2 linked regions of the Arabidopsis thaliana genome follow. The protein of the gene in region 2 interacts with the protein of the main gene of each other region in a pairwise test. Each region holds a gene or a part of one and is shown on either strand. Other genes may lie near its edges.

Region 1 (3,924 bases), 340 kb from region 2:
AAAACATGCCTGCAGCAGCAAATATATATGGCTTAGAGAACAGTTAAAGCTAAGCAAATGGAAAGAAACAGAACTAAAATGGGAAAAGATCATCTTAGGCTAAACCACAACTTACATGTCAGCAGGACAAACCGCTAAACCACTACCAAGCTGCAGAACCCGAATTGCAGTTAGCTGTTCTGGAAACAAAGCTAAGAGGAAAAAACTATTAATGTTAGAACCTTCAAAACGCAAAAGACGATATACATGTAAGTGAAACAACTAACTAGTGGGTCTTCAAAAATTAGCTTACATTTAGGTGGATAAACGACAAGAGCGTTTGATACATTAGCTTTCACAGAACCTCTAATGACGCATACTCCTCTTGCAATTTTCTCCTTATTGATCATCGACTTTGGGACAAGAACACTGAGAGTTTCATTTTGCTGATCTGTCAATGACGACAGAGACTCTAATCCAACAGTAACACATGGATCCAGAATCAACTTTTGGCTGAATATCTCTTGACCAGAAGCTAATCTAACCCCTTTGTAACCCCCAGTTTCCTGCAAAAAGAGTTTAAAATAATCAAGTAAGAATCCTTTCCGTCAACTAAACTTATCTTATGCTACAACTGTCAGCTAACTTGCCTTGTCTAAAAGCAGAGCAGTAATAGGCATCCGGAGAACCTGTGAAAACAATGAAAGACTAAATAAGTAACAAATACCACAACAGCAACACAGTACACAATGCAGAAAATTGTTCCAAACGTACATAGATACATCCTTTGACAGCAGCCCGACGACAAAAGGCTTGTGGAAGTTCTCCTTGTCCATAAATTGGGTATATCAACGCCCCAAGTGCGTTAGAAAACCTAAGGTAGAGAATCAAAAGCTAAATTATACTCAATATAACCAATGATAATGTAAACCAATAAGAAAGATGATCACAAATGTGTAAGAGCCAGGAATGAGAAAATGATGAATGACCTGCCCATAGATGTGATGTATAGAGCCAATCGATCTATCCCCTCTTTGGTCTTGAGTAAATGTCTACAAGTTTCCGTATTGTCTTGATCATAATCTAGCATCGCAATGGCATACAAGATGATCCTACACAGAAGAAGAGGAAACAAAGCCTTACCTATCAACATTTCAGAGACAAAATTCTAAGAAGCATTAAGCAGAGACAAATGTCCAAAGAGCTGCCATTAACAGAGAAGGAGGTTATACGATTTGATTTTGGGTGGTAAACGCATCTTTGACAAGAAGTCCACAAATGGACTCTCCATATCTTCCTCCGATATCTTGACTGTTGTTGAATCATCTTTTTCGGTAGAAGAAGCCAAGTGACTTTGAACAAGCTTGAAGAATTTCATGAGCTGATTCTTCTCCAACAGAGTCAAGCTCTTGTCCTTGAATATAGCAGCTCTCGAATCCGGCACATTTCGTAGCTCACCGCTCGAATCCCCAACGAAGCTGGCATCGATGCTCTTGAACTCAACGTAGTTGTTAGCTCCTGATTTCAGCATGAGATTAATTGATTCATCGGCACAGAAGACAACCCTAGGACCAGCCAAGTCAACGTTGAATCTTCTAGAGTGTTCTTCGAGGATCTCCGATTCGAAGCTCGAAATCTCCACGGAGGAATACAAGGATCGGTTAACGAGATCCACGGAGATAAAATCATGGTTGTTTGACGGAGGGAGAGGAGGAGATGACGGCGACGGAGGAGGAGAAACGGAGTTTGAGTGAAGGAAAGAAGTGAGATCGGGAAGGGAAAGAGAGGCGAAGTGAGAGCCGTAGAAGGGGTTAGGGTCGAGGTGGAGAACAGAACTACCGGAGGAGGAAGCAGCGGCGGCTAAGACGGACTCAGAGACTCCGGTGCCGACGACAATGAGATCGTAGTTGGAAGGATCAAGCGGCGGGTAAGGAGGGATGTCGATCATGGTGGCTCGAACAGATTTGTGTATCAAAAGTCGAACCAACGTGACTTCAGTAGCTTGATCGATACACGAGCGTTGAATAATCTGGGAAGATGTTGAGATGAGTGAGGAGAATCGAGGAAGAGGTTCAAGAGAAGAAGAAGTTTCTTCTTACATTACATATACAAACGTAATGGGCCTAAGATGTAAATGAATAAAAGAGGTAAGTGTGAATCGGCCCAACATGGCCCATCTTCTTAATCAACGCATAGACTATAGGGTCTACTGTTTTTCTTATGTTAGAAACTTAAAATATGATTTTTTTTTTTATATAAACGGTTTAATTGAAGAAAATAGAGTTTATACTTTCTTCGTTCACTTTACTGGTCAGTGGTCCACTTATAATGTGATTTTTTGAACTATTTTCTTTGTTGAATATAAAAGAATTTTATATATCTTGAAAAAAAAAAGTGTTAGATAAAGATTGCGAAGATTTCTTTTGTTTGTTGTGATTATGAAAATCTTCTAACCACTTTTAACTAATAATAGAGATATACCACATTCTTCTGGATAAAAGCAGATTTAACTAACTAAATAAAAGAAATCGAAAAACGAATTCACGACGACTATTAAATCTCCGAAACCCCATAGTCCTAGTAAAAACACACACACGATGGAGAAGAAGATTAGTGATATGGATGTGTTTGTTTGCAGAGGAATATGGTATATAATGACTCTACTCTCACTTTTTGGCCTCTCCAAATCACTCAATCTTCTCTGGCCACCTGGAGATTCATCGTCTCAGTCCTTTAGGGACGGTGCGGTCAGTGTCACAACATTCTACGCAGTGACGCTACTCAGATATCTTTTTTTCACCGCTCCTCCTTCCGCTTGCTACAAGGAGTTTACTACAAAGTTGGAGAGAGTACCTCAGGTTTTGTTTTCGACATTTTCCGCAAATTTAGCGTTGGCATTGCCCTTAATATATGAGCTATTGACAAACAAAGAGTTTGAATTGTCCATGTCGTTATTCACCATCTCGTTGTTCACCGGAGGGTTAGGGCTGATTCAGCTATCGGATAAGTTTAGGATGGAGATCGGACATGCTTTGTACACGCTCTTCCTCGGTTGGTTATCTTGTCTCTTTAGCATGTCTAACAATCTATACCGGGGTGACTATAAGGTACTGTTATTGTTTTTAATATCAGTACCTCATTTTTTGCTTTCCTTTGGGCCCGCGTATAATTTCTCCAAATGGGAAGACTCGGACACTTTCTCTGCCTACCGAGCAATAGAGGACAAGCTTGACACACATGCTATGACTACACTTTCTATCTAAGTATATCAATGTTTCCTTACATTAAAGTAATGGCTTTTGCAAGTCCATCATATTTTACTTTGATGTAAGATTAATCTGGATTTTATAGCTATACAATTACTCATATGGATTTCCTTTAACTTGTAATAGACAATAATAAGTCTTAACATCATCGTGAACAGAAACACAAATAAACAAGAAAGAACACCTTATTCATAAATAAATATACAGAAAGATGACATTACAGCAACATTGTATGCATCTACCTCTGATTTCTATCTTCGTATATCTACCATATCGCGTAGTTCAACTCCTATGAATTCATTCGAATAGTCCACTCTGGTCCGGTTCAGAAGTGCTTCACACCTGTTTGTTTCCAGTGAAATAATAAAACGTGAGATGGTTCAATCGAATATGAGAGGATGACATTCGTCCTCGCTTTGTGTATGCACTAACATATCAATGAACTCAAGTACCAGGGAAAAAAAAGCTTTCTCCCACACAAAAAGATAAAATTTTGACTTACCAGTTTTTGGGGAATTGTGATAAGAATAAATGAGAAAAAGTAGAGACAAGTGCAGATTATGAGTGCTGAGATCGTGTTGTAGACAAGGCGTTTGTCGTCCTTGGTTGGTATGAAGGCTGTTTTCAAAGTGTTGGTAAGCTCAAAGAGCCTATAAGAGATCTGAAAACAGAGCAACAA
Region 2 (3,754 bases):
ATTATTCTTGTGCACAATCTCTCTCACAGAATACCACGTTACCAAAACTCAACAACACTACTGCAGCAACAGCAACCAGCACTTGCTCTTCTGTTAGATGAGGTTAAATCTCTTGGTATCCCTTGGGTCCTCGCCATAACAAACAAGTTCTCAGTCAGTGCCCATCAGCAGAAATCCGCTATCGAAGCTGTACTTCAGGCATACCAAGCGTCTCCAAACACAACCGGAATTGTCAACTCTATCCCTTATATTATTTCTGGCTCTGGAACTTCCTCATTGCCTTGGGCAGCTGTGAATGCGGGAAATGACGGATCAGTAGGCGTACCGAAGATGATATTCGCTCCACTCGACCTTGTCAAAAAGCCGTTTCAGAGAAAAGACACTGTTTTTCCAGTGGATGGTGTGAATTCTCTTTGCGAGCTTGTCCATCGTGTCCTTCAAACTCAAGAAGAAGCTTGCTTTGAGGTATTATTACTCTCTTACCTGATTCAGTGCTTAATGAAAATAATGATATTGATGTCGTTGTAATGCCCAAGTCACTTCAATTTTATATCTCTCCATTAAACTTTCAGGAACTTGCTAGAGACAGACTGCTGGTGGAACTAGCCAAAGACCGTGTCGTAGATGGTTCACAGGCCAAGTCATCATCAATGTCAGCAGCAGCTGTAGGTGCTTCACTTGGAGCTGGTCTTGGCCTTGTCTTGGCAGTAGTAATGGGTGCTGGTTCCGCTTTACGAAAACCCTGATTGTACTTGATCAACCATTCCATCTGTTAATGTTATATATTTTTCTATGTACATAACTCCCACTAAAGTTCATGTTTTCGCCATTTTCTCTATTCGGTCAGGTCATTTTTGTTTAATCCCTCGGCCAGAACCAATGTGTAGTATCAAGACAAAACAGATTGCAAGTATCTTATTATAAGTCTGACTTCATAAATGATAATTATAACCTTATAAAGCTTTCTCTGGTAAAAACAAGATTGATTGAAATCATCGGGAGCAACAAGACGGATTCCGCCAAGAGCTCTCGGAGCCATCTTGGTTGTTGACAAGGCTGACCCGGTTAACGGAAAGCTCTGCTTTGTAAGCATCAGAGTTGAGAAGTTTGCGGCTGACATTGTTGAAGATCTCTCTGATAACGATCTCAAAGGCTTTGTCTACATTTGTGGCGTCCAGAGCCGATGTTTCCATAAAGAACAATCCTTCTTCCTCCGCAAGAGCTTTCCCTTCCTCCACACTCACCGCTCTTATATCCTCCAAATCGCATTTATTCCCAACTAGCATTTGTGCCACTGCCGTGTCACAATGAGCTTGCGAGGTAACAAAACAAAGTGTTAGGGATTTGTCTTGAATTCACAAACAAATAATCTTAAACTTGAGGAACAAAACAGAGTATCTTCTCAGCTCAGTGAAACCAATCACCTCTCACTGCCTCAAGCTAAAAATAGAATCAATGAAGAATGACCCAGATTCATAGCAGCAGAATCCACTAATGGTGATCAATTCTAAGTGTTTGGATTCACAAACTCCAAAAGATTGTTCCAAAACAGAGAGAGAATAAGAGCACCTTAGTCATTTATAGAATCCATCAATGGTGCTCAACGACATCAACAGATTTCCTCAGAGAAAAGAGTGAGAAGGGAAGAAGACTTACTGTTGAGTTCCTGGAGCCAACGTTTAACGCTTTCGAAAGTGTCACCTCGAGTGATGTCATAAACGATGAGAGCACCAAAAGCACCTCTGTAATAAGCAGAAGTGACAGCTCTAAACCTCTCTTGACCAGCAGTGTCCCAGATCTGAGCTTTCACTTCTTTCCCTTCGATTTCAACCAGCTGCGTCTGAAATTCCACTCCGATTGTCGCTTTTGAGTTCGTGTCGAACTCATCCCGCGAAAATCGAGACAGCAAGTTCGATTTTCCGACAGCGGAATCGCCGATTAGGACAATCTTGAACAGGTACTCTTCTCCTCGGTCATCTTCCTTACCCATCTTCTTCTACTTCTTCGAGACTGTGGAGAATTTTTTGCAAGCTTTGAAGAAGCTTTGATAAGTGGTAAAGTGGTGACAGACAAGCTGCGTGATTGGCGGGGTTTCCTATAGACAAACTCATTAAATTCTTAATTAATTACGTTTAAAGATTTTGATTAGTGCCAAAGTTTAGGCTTTTTTAATTTTGCTAAAATTCGAAAACACCTAATCCTCTTAAAATTTGCTAGATAACATTTAATTTTCTGAAAATAAGTTTCTATTAAATGAAGAAAAAAATATACATTTCTCAACTACATTTCCATAGTTTCCTCATATTTATTTCAACCACCATATTCAAAATTCAAACTATATTTCAAAAGCTTACAAAAACCTTTATCAAAAAAGAAAGAAAGAAAGAGTCAAAAACTGCTACCAGCCAGTTTTATACATCTGACTACACAAAATTGACTAGTGAGGGAATCACACAGAAATTGTGTGGCTGGATAACTATTTTTGAATCAACTATAGAACATCAAATCTAGTCGCAGTGAGTACAATTTTGAGTAGATATGTTATCAATACAAATATACTAAAACTTGGTATAGGATTATGAACAATTTGGTATAGGGGTTCCTTATTATTTCACACCCAAGTATGGTTACAGAGAATACACAACAATGTAACTTCAAGTTTGTACATAAATAGCTTGAGGCTGCTTTAATTGTTTGCTTTGCCCCAACTTCTTGGGAAAGGAATGGCATCTTTGATATCAGGAAGCCCGGTCGCATACAGAAGCATTTGTTCCATGCTTAGGCTTATTCCTGAATGTTTCACTGTCCCATGCCTCCTTAAATCTAAGTACCACTCGAACTTCTCCCTCGTGAATCCGGATTCCCCGATCCTCGCATCCAGAATCTCAAACCGTTCTTCGTTTTGGCTCCCGGTGATCACAACACCAACCTGTAAAAAACGTGAAGACTTTTGACCCTGCAACGTCCTAATTTTTGATAAAAGTGTTGTTTGGTTCAGTTCTTACCTTTGGTACGACCAGATCAAACGCTGCTACAGTCTTCTTATCATCATTCAACCTTACGTAAAACTGTTTAATTGCTTTCGGGTAGGTATGTACAATTACAGGACCTTTGTAGATCTCATCAGTCAGATAACTGCAACATTGAACGATACACAGAGAATTTAAATCGGATCTTGAAACAAAGACTCAATTGGCAAAAACAATACCTTAGATGCTCTGTTGTTAAAGCAACTCCCCACTCAGGCTTGGTTTCAAATTTTGTAGTGGTTGCCTGTTTTAGAGAATCAGATCATTATGGTATAGCAACACACCAGCATATAGGAACTGTATGGGATTTGAGAGTGATTTACCTTTTGCAGAAGACTAATCACTTCGGTATAGGAGAATCTCAAAAGGGAGCTGGATGCTGTTGCTTCGAGACGTGTGGTGATGGTCTTGTCAACTCGTTTTGATATGAATTTCATGTCTTCATCGCGATTTTCCAGAACATATTTGCAGAGGAACTTGAAGTATTCATCAGCACAATCCATAGCATCCTGTAACAGTCAAACGAAACAAGTTACCATTTGTTAAATATCATTGAATAGCATCTACCGAAAATCAGTGTTATAAGAATCTTACATCCAATTCCGCGAAAGCCATTTCGGTTTCCACATTCCACTTCTCTGCCAAATGCCTTGCATTGTCAATTTTATCAGCTATGAATCTTGGTCCAAAGGTATAAACTTTTCCAAGTGCAGAAGCATAGCTCT

Evidence for each region.
Region 1: the proteins of RABA5b (region 2) and REP interact in a two-hybrid assay, tested with the Arabidopsis thaliana proteins (one large-scale study listed by BioGRID).

The regions. Positions count from the first base shown.
Region 1 is NC_003074.8:2,035,736-2,039,659, forward strand, and holds the start of REP (Rab escort protein), read right to left. Parts: upstream 2,057-3,924; 5' UTR 1,928-2,056; coding exon 1,212-1,927; intron 1,092-1,211; coding exon 969-1,091; intron 854-968; coding exon 754-853; intron 669-753; coding exon 630-668; intron 546-629; coding exon 293-545; intron 192-292; coding exon 116-191; intron 10-115; coding exon 1-9. Other genes in the region: AT3G06545 (uncharacterized protein), read left to right, coding at 2,577-3,075, 3,166-3,242; RWA2 (O-acetyltransferase family protein), read right to left, coding at 3,673-3,906. UniProt on the Arabidopsis thaliana protein: Substrate-binding subunit of the Rab geranylgeranyltransferase (GGTase) complex. Binds unprenylated Rab proteins and presents the substrate peptide to the catalytic component composed of the alpha subunit RGTA and the beta subunit RGTB.
Region 2 is NC_003074.8:2,371,493-2,375,246, forward strand, and holds RABA5b (RAB GTPase homolog A5B), read right to left. Parts: upstream 2,065-3,754; 5' UTR 1,991-2,064; coding exon 1,657-1,990; intron 1,313-1,656; coding exon 993-1,312; 3' UTR 825-992; downstream 1-824. Other genes in the region: AT3G07400 (lipase class 3 family protein), read left to right, coding at 1-465, 573-746; NS2 (asparaginyl-tRNA synthetase 2), read right to left, coding at 2,687-2,929, 3,006-3,135, 3,209-3,273, 3,353-3,538, 3,624-3,754. UniProt on the Arabidopsis thaliana protein: Intracellular vesicle trafficking and protein transport.